2 linked regions of the Canis lupus familiaris genome follow. The protein of the gene in region 1 interacts with the protein of each later gene in a pairwise test. Links are inferred from orthologs where the notes say so. Each region holds a gene or a part of one and is shown on either strand. Other genes may lie near its edges.

Evidence for each region. The genes of interacting proteins can lie anywhere in the genome.
Region 2: the proteins of PEX5 (region 1) and ACOT8 interact in binary tests that used the Homo sapiens proteins (3 or more experiments, as listed by UniProt). The link is inferred for Canis lupus familiaris from reciprocal best matches to the Homo sapiens genes PEX5 and ACOT8.

What each region holds. Positions count from the first base shown.
Region 1 is NC_049248.1:8,232,183-8,236,849, reverse strand, and holds the start of PEX5 (peroxisomal biogenesis factor 5), read right to left. Parts: upstream 2,970-4,667; 5' UTR 2,902-2,969; intron 2,635-2,901; exon of another isoform or gene 2,612-2,634; intron 2,565-2,611; exon of another isoform or gene 2,421-2,564; intron 2,261-2,420; 5' UTR 2,245-2,260; coding exon 2,098-2,244; intron 1,764-2,097; coding exon 1,728-1,763; intron 1,445-1,727; coding exon 1,312-1,444; intron 1,091-1,311; coding exon 959-1,090; intron 1-958.
Region 2 is NC_049245.1:33,783,076-33,787,903, forward strand, and holds the start of ACOT8 (acyl-coenzyme A thioesterase 8), read right to left. Parts: upstream 3,060-4,828; 5' UTR 2,953-3,059; coding exon 2,834-2,952; intron 1,548-2,833; coding exon 1,411-1,547; intron 1-1,410. Other genes in the region: ZSWIM3 (zinc finger SWIM domain-containing protein 3), read left to right, coding at 3,463-3,617. UniProt on the Homo sapiens protein: Catalyzes the hydrolysis of acyl-CoAs into free fatty acids and coenzyme A (CoASH), regulating their respective intracellular levels. Displays no strong substrate specificity with respect to the carboxylic acid moiety of Acyl-CoAs.

The DNA of each region.
Region 1 (4,667 bases):
TAAATTGGAAAAAAAAACTAACAAATGCTTCTCCTTGAAAACAATGAGGAAGAGGAAAGCTAAAAAGAATGCCCTTCCCCATGCCTTTAATCAGACAGGCTTGAGGCAGAAGAATCAACCCCAAGGGATATAACGAGCATGGACACTCTCAAAGATGGAGAACTAGGCTGGGACCCTGAAAAACTTAGGGTGCAGGCCTGGCAGAAGAGCACCATGGTTCAGCCCACAGGGTCTGGAATCATTCAAAGCCAGAGTCAAGTCCCAACTCCACCTCTTACAAAACTGTATCACCTTGGGCAAATCACTTCATCTCAAAGCCTCTTTTCTTATTTATATGCTAGGAATAAAAACAGTAACTACCTCAAGAGTTCTGATGAAGATCGAACAGATAATACATTGAAACCAATTAATACAAAGCCTAGAATATGATAAGTACATATTAGCTATTGTTATATTTATTACTGTCATCAGGATATGGTCTTTGCCCTCTAAAACCTTATATGTCAGGCCCTTGAACACAATTCCACTTTCCAAGGCCTCAACTCTGTTTAAGATGACTTAATGCCAGAATCCCACGGGCTGTGCTTAGTATTTCTTCCTGGGCAATACTGCCATCCATCCAATCTGTGGGTCTTCACCACCAAACTACAGTAATAAAGTTCCAGATAACAAAGGGTTCTCTCTCCTATTCTCTCTTTACATAGAGAGACACAAAGAGATACATATACTCTCCAAAATCTCTTACTGAGTTCCAATTCAGTCCCATTTCATGTAAGTTTCAATAACTCCCTATTATCACCTAAGGGAGATCAGGCTCAGTGCCCTAGAGAAATGAATCAAGAGTCCAGGAAAGTCATAGAAGCTGAAGTCAGTCTATATCCTAAGATGAACTGGGGGAACAGAACAGAACTCTGCCCCACTATGAACCACTTTTAGGTTTACCCATGACCATCCTTACCTGTTACTTCAGATATGAATTCTTGGGACCAGTCAGTCTCATTATAATCCTGAGTTACATCCACAGCATCTCCAGCAGCAAGAAACTCCTGGGCCCAGTTCTCAGACAAGGCCAAGTCAGCCACACCAGGAGCTTAAGAGAAAGAAAGAGAACTAAGAAAAAAGAAAAAAAAGAAATGCATATCATTCTATGCATCATGCCTCAGGAATCCTGAGTGCACATGAAAACACTGTGCCCCTTTTGTCTCCTTCTGCAGCTCAGTTCCTCAATGCCAGAAGCATCCAGATATGGAACCCCCTCAGTCTTACTTGCATGGAAAATGGTGATCCCCCCCCACCAGACTCTGGACCCACCTCTCTGGGGTGCCTGGCGGAAGTTTGACTGTTCAATCTCCTGCATCTCTGCCAGGAGGTCATCCATCTTGAAGGTCTGAGGGGCACGGGATACAAGTGGTGCATTCTGGTCCTGGAGAAATTCGGCCACCAACTGCCAGAAGAAAGATGATAAAAGAACTCAGCAAGAGACAGGGCCCGGTGAATGAGGGACTATAACGTCAAACACAAGGAAAGAGAAACCCAGAAACTACAAATTGGAAATACTCAAATAATACATAAAAAAAAAAAAAAAAAAAAAAAAAAACAAGCAGAAGAAATAAGGCAAATCTCACTTGGTCAAGAAGGCCCAAAGGGTGAAATATAGGTGAGCCAGGTTTAAAGTAAAAACACGATGGGCAAAAGAAAAAGGGCACTGAACAGACTGGCACGTTTACCTCATCTTCAGACGCTACTCCCAAAGGCTTAGAGACCTAAGACAGAAAAGAAAGGGAGGCAATAGGGTACAGTGATGAAGTCCACACACACAACCCCGCTCGGCAGAGGTTAAAATGCCTCTAGCGTCTAGAGTGACCTTGGGCAAGTCACAGAACTTCCCTGAGCCCCCGCTTCTTCACCTGTAAAATGACTGCCTTGATCTGTATAAAGATGCACAATGCTTAGCACCGTGTTGAGTGAACACTCACTAGTCGTGATAGCTACTCCTATTTGCGACCCAGCAGAGAAGGCAGTTATCCCAAACTGTCTGTCCATGGGGCCCCTCCATCCGGAGCCACGACCTGAGTTTTCCACCTCGGGAACACTCACCGCCTCAGAGGCCGGGGCTCCTGGGGGCCAAGGGCCAGGCCTCAACCCCTCCTGCCGGAGGGCCTTGTCCTGGGTGAAATGCCCGGCCAGCTTCATCAGCGGGTTGGCACCCCCGCATTCGGCCTCCACCAGCTCCCGCATTGCCATGGTGACCGCCAGCTCACTGATGGGCAGAGAAGGTTTGGAACTGAGGTCCCGCTGCCAGGTCCTCCTCCAACCCACAACTCAGCCCGTATCAGGCCGGGGGAGGCGGGCAGACGTCGGTCCCAGGTTGTGAGCCACTCGCCACCCTCCACCGCTGTGCCTTTTGCTACGGCCCCCACCTCAGCCAGGGATCCGAGACGGGGCCGGTGCCCTGCTGCCGCCCCCTCAAAGGCCTCGGCTTTCAGCCCGGGCCTCTCGGGCGGCCTCCACGACTGCGGTCTCCGGCGGCCGGGCCGGTCGGCAGCCGCCCCCCACACGGGGGCCTGGACCCCAGGGGGCTGAGGAGCAGGATCCCACAGTCGGGCCGTACCGGGGCACTGCGCGCGCGAAGAAGAGTGGTAAGGCCGCCAGCGCGCAAGCCCACGGCCCCCAGGCCCGCCGCCGGCGAGCTCCGCGGGGAGCCATTCCTTCCCCACCACAAGTCACCTGAGCCCCTCCCCCATTCGGCGGGTCGCGGCCCACCCCTCCTGCGCTCCGGACCACCCATTTCCCCCGCCCCAGACGCAGCTCCAGCTCCGCCCCCGGGCCCCGCGAGGACCAGGCCGGGCCGGAGGAAGACCCGGAACGCGTCCTCGCGCCCCCTCGGGACCCGGCGCTCACCGTCGCGCGCCGCGCCGCGCCGCACGACCCGCCGGGGCACCTGGTGCGGGCTGAGGGGGGAGGGGAGGGGAGGGAGGGGCGGGGAGCCAGGGGCGGGGCTCGGGCTTAAAGGGGCCGTGGCGGCCGCGCAGCCTACGCTGCCCTGCGGGAAGCTGTTTGTAGGGGCGGGGCCTCAAGGCTGCGGCGCCGCGTGACGGTTGGAGCCGTGAACCTTAAAGGGGAAGAGCGCCTTAAAGGCGAAGTCTTGGAGCGGCGACCCCGAGAGCGCTACAAAGGCTCGCCCGCACTGGGACTGGTTTGCTGGGAAGCTCAAAGAAGGATGGAGCTAGGAGGGGCTGCCTGAGCTTTGGGGGGAGATCCGCGGGACCGTGATCCTGGATTCAGCTGACTCTTACTCGGCGGCACATTGTGACCCAAGGGGATTCCCTGCCCTTTCTGGGCCTCAGTTTCCCCTCCTATAAAGGGGCTGGCGGCTAGTCTTCCTAAGCCCTGAAGCAGGTAAGAGGAAGGCCCTAACACAGGTGTTGCAGGGGTCAAATCCAAGGCCTTCCTCAGCCTCCTAGTGATGTCCACTTCCAAACTGCCCCAAGCGGGACATCGTCACAGTCTCCTTGGAGACAGAGGCCTGCCCCCAATCCCTCTGCCGCTTCTGCGTGGTGGGGAATATAGCGCTGGATGATGACAAATTCCGGAGACTAAAATAGGATACGACGACGCATCCTGAGTCCTCTCAAGCTGGTAACATACAGGGAAGGTGCACAGTGAATCACTAGTCTCCTCTCCTTCCTCTCTCCCCACTGGTCAGGGTCATTATGGTGGTCATATTCCCACTGCTCCAGACTGGGAAAGCACAGACATGGTGCAAGAAATGATTTTTAATCACAGAATAAGCCTCAGGCCCCACCATCTGCCACAGCCATTGGCTCTGATGTCAGACTTCAAGGGCGTAAACCCTGATACCTTACCTGACTCCCAGACCAAGGGAGACCTGGTGCCACCAAGAAGGGCAGAAGGTGCTCAGGGCTGCTGGTAATTGAGCAAGGATGGGTTAGTACCAAGACAGAAGCGCTCTCCCAGCCCAGGGTGCAGGAGGGAAGACAGACAGCAGGTGGCGCCCTGGGCCAGGCTTGTTTCCTATTGTCCGGCACATTTCTAAGGTGGAGGCCCCAGGGGATCAGAGGAGCTTGGTTCTGTAAACTCCTCCCAGGGAAAGTAAAGAAGCTGCTCTGACACCGCAGGAGAACAGAATGACAGGCCAGACCTGAAAATTGTGCAGAATTTCTCCTCTTCTTACCTTTTCACCATCTTTCAGAACCCCGCCCCCCCACTGCCCGTGTACCCTGGAGAACATAAATCCCAGCCCTTGCATGTTGACTGTTCTCAGACTGCCACTGTAAAGAAAATACCTGGTACCTAGTACCTAATAAACTAAACCATGCCAGAGAGGAAGGGATGCTCTCTGTAAAGCATAAAGGATCCCTGAAGAGGGCAATGTCTAACTGAAAGCATATGATATAGTAGAATTTTAGAAAGTCCAGGCAACCAGAAAGGACTTCCCAGTACCATTCAAACCATACCACACACATAGCCACCTGCTCTGCTAGGAGTTTAGTAACTGATTATCAATAACTCATGAAGTGCCTGCCTCCTAGGAGATGATAATAATGATTATAACTGATGTTTATCTAATGCTTACTAAAACCCAGGCATTACACTAAATATTTTATGGGCTCTAGTGCTTTTAATCTTCATAATACCCCCTATGA
Region 2 (4,828 bases), on another chromosome or scaffold:
GTGAGTTAGTGGCAAAGCTGAAACCAGACCCAAGGTTTCTTGATTTGCACACTGGTGCTCTCTTCTCCAAGCCAAGCTGCCTACTGCTGAACTCCTAGCACAGGTGACAGCATCTCTCGGAGGATCCAGTACAGTGCTTGGCACCAAAAGGTGTGTGAAGAATGAACAAAAAACCTGCAGGGAGTAGTTAAGCAACAGAATCTTCTGTCATTCCATGCCAGATAACAAGTCATGTGGAAAACAAAAGCAAAAGAAAAAATTAATTTCCTTACTACTTAAACCCATTGACAAGTCCTTGAAACAGGTAGAGTGATCTCTAGAGACTCAGCTGCCTCCAGGTGAGTACTTTGCTAAGGGCAAGAGGCAATCTTAGTTTAACATTACCCTGACCCTGTAGGATCCTGGAAGTCTTCTTTAGACACGTAGAAATTCCTTTGGAAACTTCCTTTATCTCTACCATATTGGCATGCTGCATGTTGGCAATCACCCAAGCATATGGCCCACCAATACACATCTGAAGGGTCTCATGACTCAGGCTTTTTAAGACAGGAATAAATGACCTTTTCCTAACAATAACTAGCCCCCTCAAGGTCCTGGAAACCTGACTTCTAAAATACCTTGGAAACTTGTGCTGTCCCTAACCCCCATCCAACTTGAAAGTATATAGTCATTTGTCACAATCCCAGTACAGCCTTTTCTGCCCAGAAGTCCTGTTCTCGTGCTCTAGTAAGACCACCTTCTTAGGGAAGCCTGGGTGGCTCAGTTAGTTAAGCATCCGACTCTTGATTTTGGCTCAGATCATGATCTCAGGATGCTCAGCAGGAAGTCTGCTTGAGATTCTCCCTCTCCCTCCTGCTCTCCTCCCCCCACTCTTTCTTTCTAAAAATAAATAAATCTTTAAAAACAAACAGACAGGGACACCTGGGTGGCTCAGTGGTTGAGCATCTGCCTTTGGCTCAGGTTGTGATCCCGGGGTCCTGGGATCTAGTCCCACATCAGATTCCCCGCAAGGGGCCTGCTTCTCCCTCTGCCTATGTCTCTGCCTCTCTCTCTCTCTGTGTGTCTCATGAATGAATAAATAAAATCTTTTTTAAGAAACAATAAAAATAAAAACAAACAAAATCATCTTTTTACACCAAACACATCTCAAGAATTCTTTCTTGATCATTTGCTCTGCCGCCAACATTTCCTCAACAAGCACTCAGTGATCTCATCCGTGTGAAGTCCAACACTCCTCTGGGCCCCAGACCTTGCTCCTCTCTAGGTTCCCCTGAGGGGAATCAACTGTCTCACTCTCCCCTCCCCCACCGCCCTTCCTCCCTCTTCCAGCCCATCAGCCCCCCAAGTCCAGGAACAAGTGGCTGCTGGGCCCTCAGGGTTGGGTTTGGGTATAAAGAGGGGATAGTTTACCTGTCCGTACAAAGTAACAGTGCAGAGAGTGCACATGGACGTCTTCACTCACAGACTTGGCTGCAGCCACCAGGGCCTGGCCCACAATCTGACCCCCAAACAGCCGCTGGGTTGTGGGTACCCAGTAATGTCTTCCTCTGTGGAGAGAGGGGAAAGCAGGAAATACTTGGGCCAAATCCTGCAACCATCCTATAGGGCAAGACCTCTCAACCTTATTGACGTCTGGGATCCTTCTGAAATCTGGTGAAAGCCATGGACCCTTCTCCCAGGCAAATACCCTTACTCTGCATACAGCATACATGTAACTTTAGTGCCTTCAAGACTGCCCAACCCTTCTGTGGGCTTCAGTTAAAGATAAGGAACCAGCTCTCTTCTTTTACCCAAAGAGAACAGGGATCAGAGAGGGAAAGTGACTTGAGTGAGGTCAGTCAACTTAAACATTGCCAGTCCTGAGCAGTGTCTGCGTCTTCTGCCCCCAAGTCCAGTGTTTCTTTCACTGCCGATTCCAGGATAAAGCAGAAGCCTCTCAAGGCCATAAGGGGACCAAGATGATCCCCAAGAGCTGCGGGCAGACTGCGTTCAGGCCTGCCACTTGGGCCTCTCAACTTTAGCCCAGTTCTTCCAAGAACTACAAAGGGTCCTAGAACTCAAAGGGTCCTCAGGCTTTAAGGGTAACCCTCTCGCGCACAGATGAGGAAATGAGGCCCTGGAACTCCAGCTTCCTACCACTGAGGCCAGCTCAGCTCCAACCTAGGTTAGCATTTAAAAAAAAAATATAATGCCTTCCAAGTAGCCCCTCCTAGTCATTTGCAATTCATTAAGTAGGGGGAAGTGAAACTCTAACATTTAAGATTGCCTCTGAAAAGCCAGTAGGAACCCTGACGGCCAAAACTATTAAATCCCTAGCTGCAGAAAAGCATTTAAGTGGTATCTGGAAGGAAACTGGCTCAGATCTCAGGGCAATGAGGTACTAGATCCAAGTGGTGGAAGGTGCGAGGTACGTAAAAGGAAAGAACAGTGAATATGCAAGAAGCTGCTTCTAAATTTTCAACCGGATCAGCTGCGTGCATTTAAGTGACCACCCTTTCTGGGCTGGCCCCTAGGGACAGGACTCCTCCAGAGAGCCTGCTGTGAAGGCTAGCTCAAGCCACCACTTCGTCTGCCCGGATGGCTAGGGCCTCCTAGTGGCGGGGCTGAGCAGACCTGGCGCGCACCGGAGGAAGCTAGGGCAGCGAGACCAGCCAGGTCTGTCAGGGACCAGTTCTCTCCCAGGCGCGGCAGAGCCTGCATCCTGCACAGAGCCCATCCCCGTCCGGGGGGCTATGAGCAGGAGGCAACGCGGTGGCGGCATCGAGGTCGGAAGTCTCTGTCCCAATGTGGGGGGTGGCGGGGGGAGGGGTGCGAGCCAGATGCAGCCGGCTACCTGAACAGATCCACGTCTAGCGGCTCGAGGTTGAGCACGCTGGTAACCAGGACGCTGCGGAGGTCCCCGGAGGGATCGCCGCCGCCCTGCTCATCCTCGGGAGCCTGCCGGGACGCCATGGGGTTCACGCGCGGCCAGCCAGAACACCGCGCTGAGCGGACACGAGGACACCCGCACTGAACGCCGACCTTCTTCCGGCAGCTTGCTCCAGTAACAGGAAATCGCCTCAAGGCCCCCCCGCCCAAGAAAGAGGGGTCCAAGTTATGATTGGTCGGCCCTCCTGTCAGTCTTCGCGAGAGGCGGGCTAGCTTTCTCTAGCGATTGGAGAAAATGAGTGCCAGTCTGGGAATACCGTGTGTGATTGGATGTAACTGTGAGGGGGCGGAACCCAGGGCTGAATAATAAGAGCTGAGCGTCATTTCCCCTCTGTGAGAAAGCAAAGACGCCCCCAGACCCCTAAGCCCTCTCGGCCCTTAGGGCTCCTCCTGAGCCCCGTAACAGGCCACTCAGCTGAGGCCGACCCTTAAGGCATCCTGGACATGCGCCAGCCTGTAGGCCCTCACAGTGTGACCTCTGAACCCTAGTGTTGATCCGGGGGCCAGCCCCTGGTGTGGGCTGAGGGGGCGGCCATGGAGCTGGGCAGCTGCTTCAAGACCTACGAGGATTTCAAGGAGTGCTTCAGCGCCTACAAAAAGGAGAACAGGTGCTCCTTCATTCTCAGGGACTGCGTCTCCGTCCGCTTCCACAACCTCAACCATGGCACCTGCATCCGCGAGGACATCCTGTAAGGGCGGGGCAGGTCTGGGGCGGGGCAGGAGGGTGGGGAGGAGGCCGGACTGTCCCCTGGAGGGAGGCCTTGGAGGAGGAGGAGGAGGGAGCGCAGCTGGGCCCCGGTCTCAGGGCAATCAACAGGCACCGAGCACTTGTCCTGTGCCTGGTGGAAAGAGCAAAACATTCCCAAGGCATCGCTTTTTGACCACCCACTCCCCCTTCATTCATTCACTCCATTATAGCTTTCCTGAAATAACTGCAATTTGCCCCATTCTTTGAGCACCTGCAGTATCCCTCGTACAAAGTACCGTCTTCACAAATGGATACAAAACGCCTCTGGGATGATTTCCTCCATCAGTGTTCTCTTGACAAAGCAATGAACGCGGTCAGTTGTTGGTTAGTTTGCTCATTCATTCGTTTGTTTTCTACGTGGTTCTCGAGCTTCTGAGATTAACAACCGTTTTTTCAAACACTTCCCATGCCCCAGGCATCCTTCGCTGTTGTGTGCATGCTTTACCAGGCAGGGCTGTATTGAGAATTATAGTTAAATGCTGTTTTTCCCTTTTGGCAGCTGAGAAAACAGGCGGAGAGGGTTGACAACTCCATTGTCTTCAGGGCTTGGGTGAAACAGCCCAGCGTCAGAAAGTTTTAATTTCACCCTAAGAGAAAGAATGATGAAATAACAACGGACTCCAGGTCTTTGTAGCAGAGACCACAGAGGTGTGTGGTGACATGGAGAGCAGGCCCTATCTAATCAACTCCAGCTAATGGCCACCAGGTGGAAATGAAGATCCGGTGTTGCCAGAAATGGGAGCAGGACAAGTCAGAAATCCAAATTTGGGGCAATATCTCCACTTTTTAAAAATTGCAAATCAGTTTAGATTTGAACACACTCTGAGGAGGCCAACTCAAGGAACAGTACAAGCTCCCTGTCTAAATTATTGTTAGGCAGTTAAGGGAGAGGAGAAAAGCTCTTCTTGAGTCTGTTGGACCTTGACAGTTTTCAGCTCAGAATAATCCACATGCCAAAGTGGCAAATTCTGGGGCAGCCTGTCCTGAACCCCATCAGTGGTTAAAAGGGAGAGCTCTGGAGCCAGAAAGACAGGCTTTACACTGGAAGTTGGGGAACACTTCATTTCTGTGACCGTTTCATCCTCTGTAAAATGAGATGGATGCGGTGAAGAGTAAACAGAAATGCGTATAGGAGCAGAAACGTGGTGCTCT